2 linked regions of the Macaca mulatta genome follow. Each later gene encodes a partner of the first gene's protein in a complex. Links are inferred from orthologs where the notes say so. Each region holds a gene or a part of one and is shown in the gene's direction. Other genes may lie near its edges.

Region 1 (3,644 bases):
TTTAGCACAGGGCCTGATACCTAGAAGCATTCAATGAAGATTAGCCCCAGAAAGCAAGCCAGTGAGGTTAGAACAGAGTGAGTGAGGGAGAGAGTAGGGGCAGATATGAGCAGAAAGCTGAGGTGGGCAGACATAGGCCTGCCTTGTAGCCAGAGTAAGCATTTCGGCTTCTACTTTGTGTAATCTGGGAAGCCCCTGGAAGGGGTGGAGCAGAGGAGGGACTTGATCTGGACTTAAGCTCACTGTGGCTGCCGATGGGAGATTGAAGGGGGATAGAGCAAGCTTAGGGAGGTGGATTAGGGACCATACTCATAATCTGAAGTGATGGTGGCTTCGACTAAGGTGGTAGCAGTGGAAGGTGGAGGAGTGATTGGGATCCACATAGATTTTATTTTCTGAGTGTTTTTTTTGAAATCATGAAAAGGTGTTGGGTTTTGTATTCTTTGGACTTTACTGTACATAGGACCCAGTCAACTGTGAATAGAAATAATTTTACTTCTTCCTTTCCAATTTGGATGCCTTTTATTTCCTGCATATGTTTTAAGGGTAGAGCCAGCAGGATTTGCTACTGGACTTGTCCTGAAGTGTGTGAGAGAGAGAGAGGAATCAAAGAACTCTCCAAGGTTTATTGGCCTGAGCAACTGGGGATGGAGTCACCATTGACTGAGATGGGGATAACTCATCCCCTACCTCGGTTTGCTACGGAGGACTGGAGGGGGCTGTGGGAAAGCTTAGTTTTGGGCGCGATACATTTGAAAATGCCTATTAGTCATCTAAATGGCAGAGTTGGGTAGCTGGCAGTTGAGAAGGATTTGGAATTCAGGAGAGTGGCACAGTGACAGCACAGAGTGGTATTTTAATGGTATTAGATTGAGTGGCCGAAAAGCGAAGAGGTCTAAGGACTTGGCCTCAGCACCGAGTACGTCTCATTAGAATTGTGGATGAGGAGCTAGCAAAGGGGCTTGAGAGGAGCAGGCAGTGAGTGAGTGGGAGAGACATGAGCAGACTCATGCGGTTGGCGTCTGGCTCAGATTTCCTTTCTCTTCCTTTGGCTGGTGCAGAACTCATCCGTGTGCCACAGGAAAATAGTCCATGTTTTTCAGTGTCATGTAATTGAACAAAATAGGGGGTTTTTTTTGGCTAAATGAACTACTTGAATAGCGATTTGTTTGAGGTTAATGGAGACTTTATACATGGAGGAATGTTTGAAGTTAGCAATTTCTGAAAATAAGTCCAGACAATATAGTTACATGAATTTGCTGAATGTGACGCCTATTCAAGGCTTTCACTCTGTTAAACCAACATCTCAAATGGTGTGTGGTCTTGTCAGAAAGTCTGCTCACAGATGCACGAATCCCTTGTGTTTTATCTTTCAGATACATTGGTGAAGTAGGAGACATTGTAGTGGGAAGAATCACAGAGGTAACGTCGATATCAGATTGGTGTTTACAAAGTCGAGGCAGGCTGGCGATTGTATTCATGGGACAGTCATTCCACTTGTAGTTACATGAAAAAGGCATTCGTTGCATTTGGCTATTGTGTGGCCTCTGATGTAAATATGTGGCTTGTTCGATTTGGGATTACTGGTTACTTTCTTTTTCTTTTTTTGAGATGGAGTCTCGCTCTGTTGCCCAGGCTGGAGTGCAGTGGCGCGATCTTGGCTCGTTACAACCTCCGCCTCCAGGGTTCAAACGATTCTCCTGTCTCAGCCTCCTAAGTAGCTGGGATTATAGGCACCTGCTACCACGCCCGGCTAATTTTTGTATTTTTAGTAGAGACGGGGTTTCATCATATTGGTCAGGCTGGTCTCAAACTCCTGACCTTAAGTGAGCCACCACCTCGGCCTCCCAAAGTACTGGGATTACAGGCGTGAACCACCGCACCCAGCCTTACTGGTTACTTATGATGTGAACTCCTGTCCCTGGAGCATGTGTCCAGGTGTGGAACTTGGCTTATAGGTTCAACAGAAGAGGTGGAAGGTGGAGACCAACTCCAGGCTGGATTCGGTCTTGCTGCTCTCGTCCATGAACCTTCCTGGAGGAGAGCTGGTAAGGGCTACAGCTGGGGCCATGGACTGGAGCCCAGTGGGCTGGGGGGAGCTGTGGGACCCTTTGTTCCACCAGAGGACTTTGCTTTACACTGAGGTTACCCCTTTGACTCCCGTTTGTCTGCTGTGAAGTTTGCTGTCTGGATGTGTATGTAGACTTTTCACCCTGTCCAGGTCTCCCGAAAGAGGGAGCAGTTGGCATACGGTAGGATCAGAAACATCCATGGGGTGGGATCCCAACAGAGAGTTGGGGAGAGAAGCTCTTAGATGCTGCTTGTTAATAGCTTTCCTTTTCTGGACGTATCAGCTTTGCACAGTGAAGATGTTCCTTGGAAAGCTGTCTTTACGTTAGTTTTTTGTGAATTGAAAGGCATTTGGTTATTCCAGACAACCACAGTAACTAAGCCACAGCCTTTTGTAAAATACCATGGTTCACCTTTATCTTCAGTCCAGCATGTATTTACAGAGAGGCTTACTGTGCCAAGCTCTGTGCCAAGTGCCAAGCACGACTGAGTTCCCCAGCAGGGGATATAAGATAACTGACCCAGTATCTGGCAGTAGAAGAATAAATAAGCTGTGGTTATACAAAAGGAGTGGTTCATTCCAGTGAGAGAAGCTCGTAGGAAAGACAGGATGGAGAGACTTTAAATAACTAGTTCAGGGAATCTGAGATAAAGGGAAATGTGTGAGCAGAGATATATCCAAGCAGGAGTTAGTCTGGTCCTGCTGGACCACAGAGAGCTGTCATGGAAGATGAGTGTGGAAATGTTGGCTGGGTGAGATTGGGAGGGGTTGGAATGCTCCTCAGGGAAGGGAGGGAAAGAGGAAGAGAAGAGGACTATGGAAAAGTCTCTTGCGATGGAAAGTCGTGATTATCACTCATTCCCCTCAAGTGGCTCGGGTTACCTACTTTTGCCATAGTTCTCAGTGTTTGAGTATTGTGGTTGGCCTCAAAAATCTCAAAAGGAAGTGAAAGAGAAAGAAGTGATGGAGACCTTTCTGAGGACCTGGCTTCAGTAATGTCATTTCTTTGTGTATTTCAGAGGAGAAGATCTGCAGAAGATGAGCTTGCAATGAGAGGTTTCTTACAGGAAGGGGACCTTATCAGTGTATCCTGTGCTTTGCACTGCAGCCTCTTCATGCTTTTCTGTGGGGCTGGGAAATGGGCCTTCCATTGTATGTCTCTGACGGAAGAACCGTTAGACCAGGTGTCGGGCTCTGCTGTGTCCTTTCTCGGTCTCCTTAACTCAGGCTGACTCCCCAGCTCTTGTTCAGACCTGCTGCTAAGTCATTTCTTTGGGTCTTGTAACTTATGGTAGCCTGTGCTTGAGGCTTTTGTTAATGATGTTAACTTTTAGCCCAGGGAGTGGAAGAGGTGTTGTTCACATCAAGATATTAATGACAGGCCGAGTGTGGTGGCTCATGCCTGTAATCCCAGCGCTTTGGAAGGCCAAGGAGGGAGGATTGCTTGAGCCTAAGAGTTCAAGACCAGCCTGGGCAACATAGCAAGACCCCCTCTCTACAAAAAAATAAAAATAAAAAATTAGCCGGGCATGGCGGCACATGCCTAGCTACTCAGGAGGCTGCGGCTGGAGGG
Region 2 (4,089 bases), on another chromosome or scaffold:
CAAGGACGCTGCTCTCGGGATGTTTGCAATCTCAAGTAGGAGATACCAGACATCAATAAAGAGTAGCATTTTATTCACGTGCAGACCTCCCTTCTGGGGTAACACGCTGAGAAGAAAAAGTAGCAACTTTATTTTGGGGCTGCTTATCTTTTGATGACGGGCCCACACAACCAGAGTTCGGCTTTTTCAACCTGAGAAAGCTTACTTAAGTGGGGATGGGAGGCCGCGAAGAGGATCGGACCGCAGGACTGGAAGCTACAGTTAAAAAACCGGGAAAAGGCCGGGCGCGGTGGCTCACTTTGGGAGGAATCACCTGTAATTCCTGCACTTTGGGAGGCTGAGGCGGGCGGCTCAAGAGATCGAGACCATCCTGGCCAACATAGTGAAACCCCGTCTCTACTGAAAATACAAAAATTAGCTGGGCGTGATGGCGCGCGCCTGTAGTCCCAGCTGCGCGGGAGGCTGAGGCAGGAGAATCGCTTGATGCCAGGAGGCGGAGGTTGCAGTGCGCAGAGATCGCGCCACTGCACTCCAGCCTGGCCAAAGAGCGAGACTCCTTTTCAAAAACAAAACAAAACAAAAACCGGGAAAAGGTTTTATTTCTCAATGACAGCCGCGAGGTGAAACTGCGATGGACTGGAAGTCAAAAATCGCGGGTTCCAGTTTGGGCTCTATCTTGAAGATTTTGGACAAGTCAAACCCGGTCTCTGAATCTGAGGTTCCACATCTGTGAAACAGACGAGTTGGGTCGCTTGACCTCCTTCCTTCCTGCTCTGAACGTAACGGTTGCTCGCAAGGTGCGCTCCGGCTGAGGAGGGCGCAGCCCCGCAGGGCAGGGCGAGGAGAGAGCAGGAACCTGGACTCAAGACAAGGCCCCAGGGCATTGCCCGACCCAGAAAAAGGGACTAGGATGGGGAGCAAGGGCCGAGGCTTCGCCCTTACCTGCCGCCTGCCGACTCCCCAGTCAGCCAAACCGAGCCCCGCAGCCTCTGCCGCCGCTCACTGCCACCCTCTCCGACTCGGCGCCCCGGCCGGGCCCGGCTCAATCCAAACCACCATGGCCCGCCGCCTGCAGTGCCACCCAGCGGACCCGGACCTGCCGCCAGCCCATCCTCAACCACACGCGCAGGCGCAAGCATGGAGCGCTGAAGTTCCGCCCCCGGATTTGTCCCGGGGTAACCTGGGAAATGGAGTTTACACGCAAGGATAAAGAACACCAATTGACGCGTATCTTACTGCGGAACTGTGCCTGGGTTTGGCCAATGAGAAATCGATTTCGTTTTCATCCGGCTTTTGGGACAGCGGCAATCATGGCACCACCTGTGAGATACTGTATTCCCGGTAAGTGAGCGCTTCCCGTACAGAGTCCTGGATAGGGGCCGAAGCAAGAAGCCTGGACGGCCTGCAGTTTCTGGGGGCCCATGACCGATGCAGCATTTTTTCTGCAGGCGAACGTCTGTGTAACTTGGAGGAGGGCAGCCCGGGCAGCGGCACCTACACCCGCCACGGCTACATCTTTTCGTCGCTTGCCGGCTGCCTGATGAAGAGCAGCGAGAACGGCGCGGTAAAGGAAGCGGCATGCCGTCTCCTCTCTCTCTGTTTTTCCCTTAGGCTGCCCTTGAGTTCCAGTCCTTAGGCATGGGCACTGCGGACGCGTGTTTAGAGCCTTAGTGGTACAATGTTGGTCTCTTAGTTTCTTCTAGCCGTATCGCCGCTGTTGTGCACTTAGCCACCACACACTAGTTGTGTTGATCTCGCTTGGTTGTGCTGCTGACCCTCGGGGAGGGAGGTTGGGACAAAAGCAGATGCGAACTCAGTAACCTAGCCCAGCTCAGCCCAGCAGTGCGTTGTATACTGTATGAATGTTGCTTACCTCTCCGGCTTACCTCTAGTGCCACTATCTCCACCTCACTGACGCGATCTAATCATACAGTCTTTTCTATTTGTAAAAGTTATAATCACAGTTTTGGCTTGCCCTTTTAAAAAAATTTGTAACACACTAGCTTCTTTCAGTGTCGGTAATGTGCCAAGCTTTCTCCTGCTACAGAGCCTTTGTAACATGCCATCTATCTGGAACGCTTCTGTCTTCTTAGGCCTGTTTAATTCCTACCTCCGTTAGTTTCTGTATTATCACCTCAGAGAAGCCCTTCTGGACCCACTAATTGAGGAAAGGAGTTTTGTGGGATGTTTTGTTTTTGTTTGTTTTGTTAAAGACTTACAAAAAAACTCTGTCCCTTTTCTTCCAAGCACTTATGTCAGCATATGATTAGACACTCAGGTATGTTTCCCACTAGACTTCTCCCTTGCTTAAATCTAAGTTCCACGAAGTGCAGGTGCTACCACCATACCATCAGTATCTAGCACAAAGCAGCTCCTCAATAAATGTTTGTTGAATGCGTAATACCTACTTTTCTAGTTTTAGAGATTGATCCAGGATTAGCTCAGGATCATATAAGCAATATTTGAAGGAGCACAGTAGAAAGAGGATTCAGAATTAGAACCGTTAGGTTCTGGCTAACTTGACCTCGATTCTGCTTTGAGTAAGTAACTTAAGCCGTCTGACTCAAGGGGCTTTCTATTCAGTCATTGTTGGGAATGTCCTTAACAGTCCTGAGTTTGTTCATTTGATAGATACCACTTGAGTATTTTCATGTGTCAGGCACAGCGCTGACTTGGTTTCTGCTATCAAAGGACACAGACACAAATTGTAAACAAATAAATGCTCAAATAAGCATATGGTTACACATGTGGTGGCTGCTTTGAAAGAATATTACAGGGCACCTTAAGAACATGTAACAGGCAAATCCATCCTAGTCAGCAGAAGTGACATTGAAGCTGAATCATCTAAAGAGTAGGTTAGAGTCAGGTGGGTGGAGAGAGTGCAATTCTGGCAAAAAGAATAGGTTGAAGAGAGATCTGAAAGTGGGAAGAATTTAGTAAGTTGGGGAAACTGAAAGAAGGCCAGGAGAGCTGAAGCATTGTAAGCAACGGAGAGATTGTTAAAAGATGAGGCTCAAAATATCTGTCTCATACCAACAGCCAATACCATGCTCAAAGAGAAAACTCTGCAAGTATTCACTTAAAACAAGCGTAGCTACTATTTGTAACATTTCTGTGGAAATTTCAGCCTGTGCAGTAAAATAAGAAACAGAAAGAAGCAGTATAACTTTGGAGGAAAGAGTAAAATTGTCAGCCAGATGTAGTGGCTCACGCCTGTAATCCCAGCACTTTGGGAAGCCAAGGTGGGTTGATCACCTGAGGTCAGGTGTTCGAGACCAGTCTGACCAACATGGTGAAACCCCATCTCTACTAAAAATACAAAAAATTACCCGAGCATGGTGGCAGGCGTCTGTAATCCCAACTACTCGGGAGGCTGAGGCAGGAGAATCACTTGAACCCAGGAGGTGGAGGTTGCAGTGAACCGAGATGGCGCCATTGCACTCCACTCTGGGCAACAAGAGTGAAACTCCATCTCAAAAAAAAACCAAAAAAAGTAAAATTGTCAATGATTATAGGCAATATAGTTGTATACCAAGAAATTCTGAGAGAATCACCAGAAAACTTATTGGAAGTTTAGGGATTTACTACAAAAAAAATTAGCCGGGCGTGGTGGCAGGTGCCTGTAGTCTCAGCTACTTGGGAGGCTGAGGCTGGAGAATGGCATGAACCCGGGAGGTGGAGCTTGCAGTGAGCCGAGAATATGCCACTGCACTCCAGCCTGGGCAACAGAGCAAGACTCCATCTCCAACGACAACAAAAAAAAAGAAGTTTAGAGGTTTACATCTTCTAGCAGCATTCTGTAGCCCCCTGGTCCTCCTATTTCCTAAAATTTCTAAGGCCTTCTGCTCTGGCCTATAAATGAATGCATACTCCAGCTCTCACCTGTGTACCAAGACATTCCTATATTACTCTCAAGACACAAATGCTTTGACCCAAGAGTTAGCCAGGACATTTCAGTTTTTTTCTTTTTCCCTCTGTAGCTTCCTGTGGTGTCTGTAGTAAGAGAAACAGAGTCCCAGTTACTGCCAGATGTCGGAGCTATTGTAACCTGTAAGGTAAGTTTGTCCTAACTTCCATGCTTAGAACGCC

Evidence for each region.
Region 2: EXOSC2 (region 1) and EXOSC1 share a complex: the UniProt entries of both Homo sapiens proteins name them as parts of the RNA exosome core complex. The link is inferred for Macaca mulatta from reciprocal best matches to the Homo sapiens genes EXOSC2 and EXOSC1.

Annotation. Positions count from the first base shown.
Region 1 is NC_133420.1:16,884,131-16,887,774, reverse strand, and holds part of EXOSC2 (exosome complex component RRP4), read left to right. Parts: intron 1-1,376; coding exon 1,377-1,422; intron 1,423-1,958; coding exon 1,959-2,048; intron 2,049-3,090; coding exon 3,091-3,156; intron 3,157-3,644. UniProt on the Homo sapiens protein: Non-catalytic component of the RNA exosome complex which has 3'->5' exoribonuclease activity and participates in a multitude of cellular RNA processing and degradation events.
Region 2 is NC_133414.1:109,495,408-109,499,496, reverse strand, and holds the start of EXOSC1 (exosome complex component CSL4), read left to right. Parts: upstream 1-1,286; 5' UTR 1,287-1,310; coding exon 1,311-1,341; intron 1,342-1,448; coding exon 1,449-1,564; intron 1,565-3,980; coding exon 3,981-4,055; intron 4,056-4,089. UniProt on the Homo sapiens protein: Non-catalytic component of the RNA exosome complex which has 3'->5' exoribonuclease activity and participates in a multitude of cellular RNA processing and degradation events.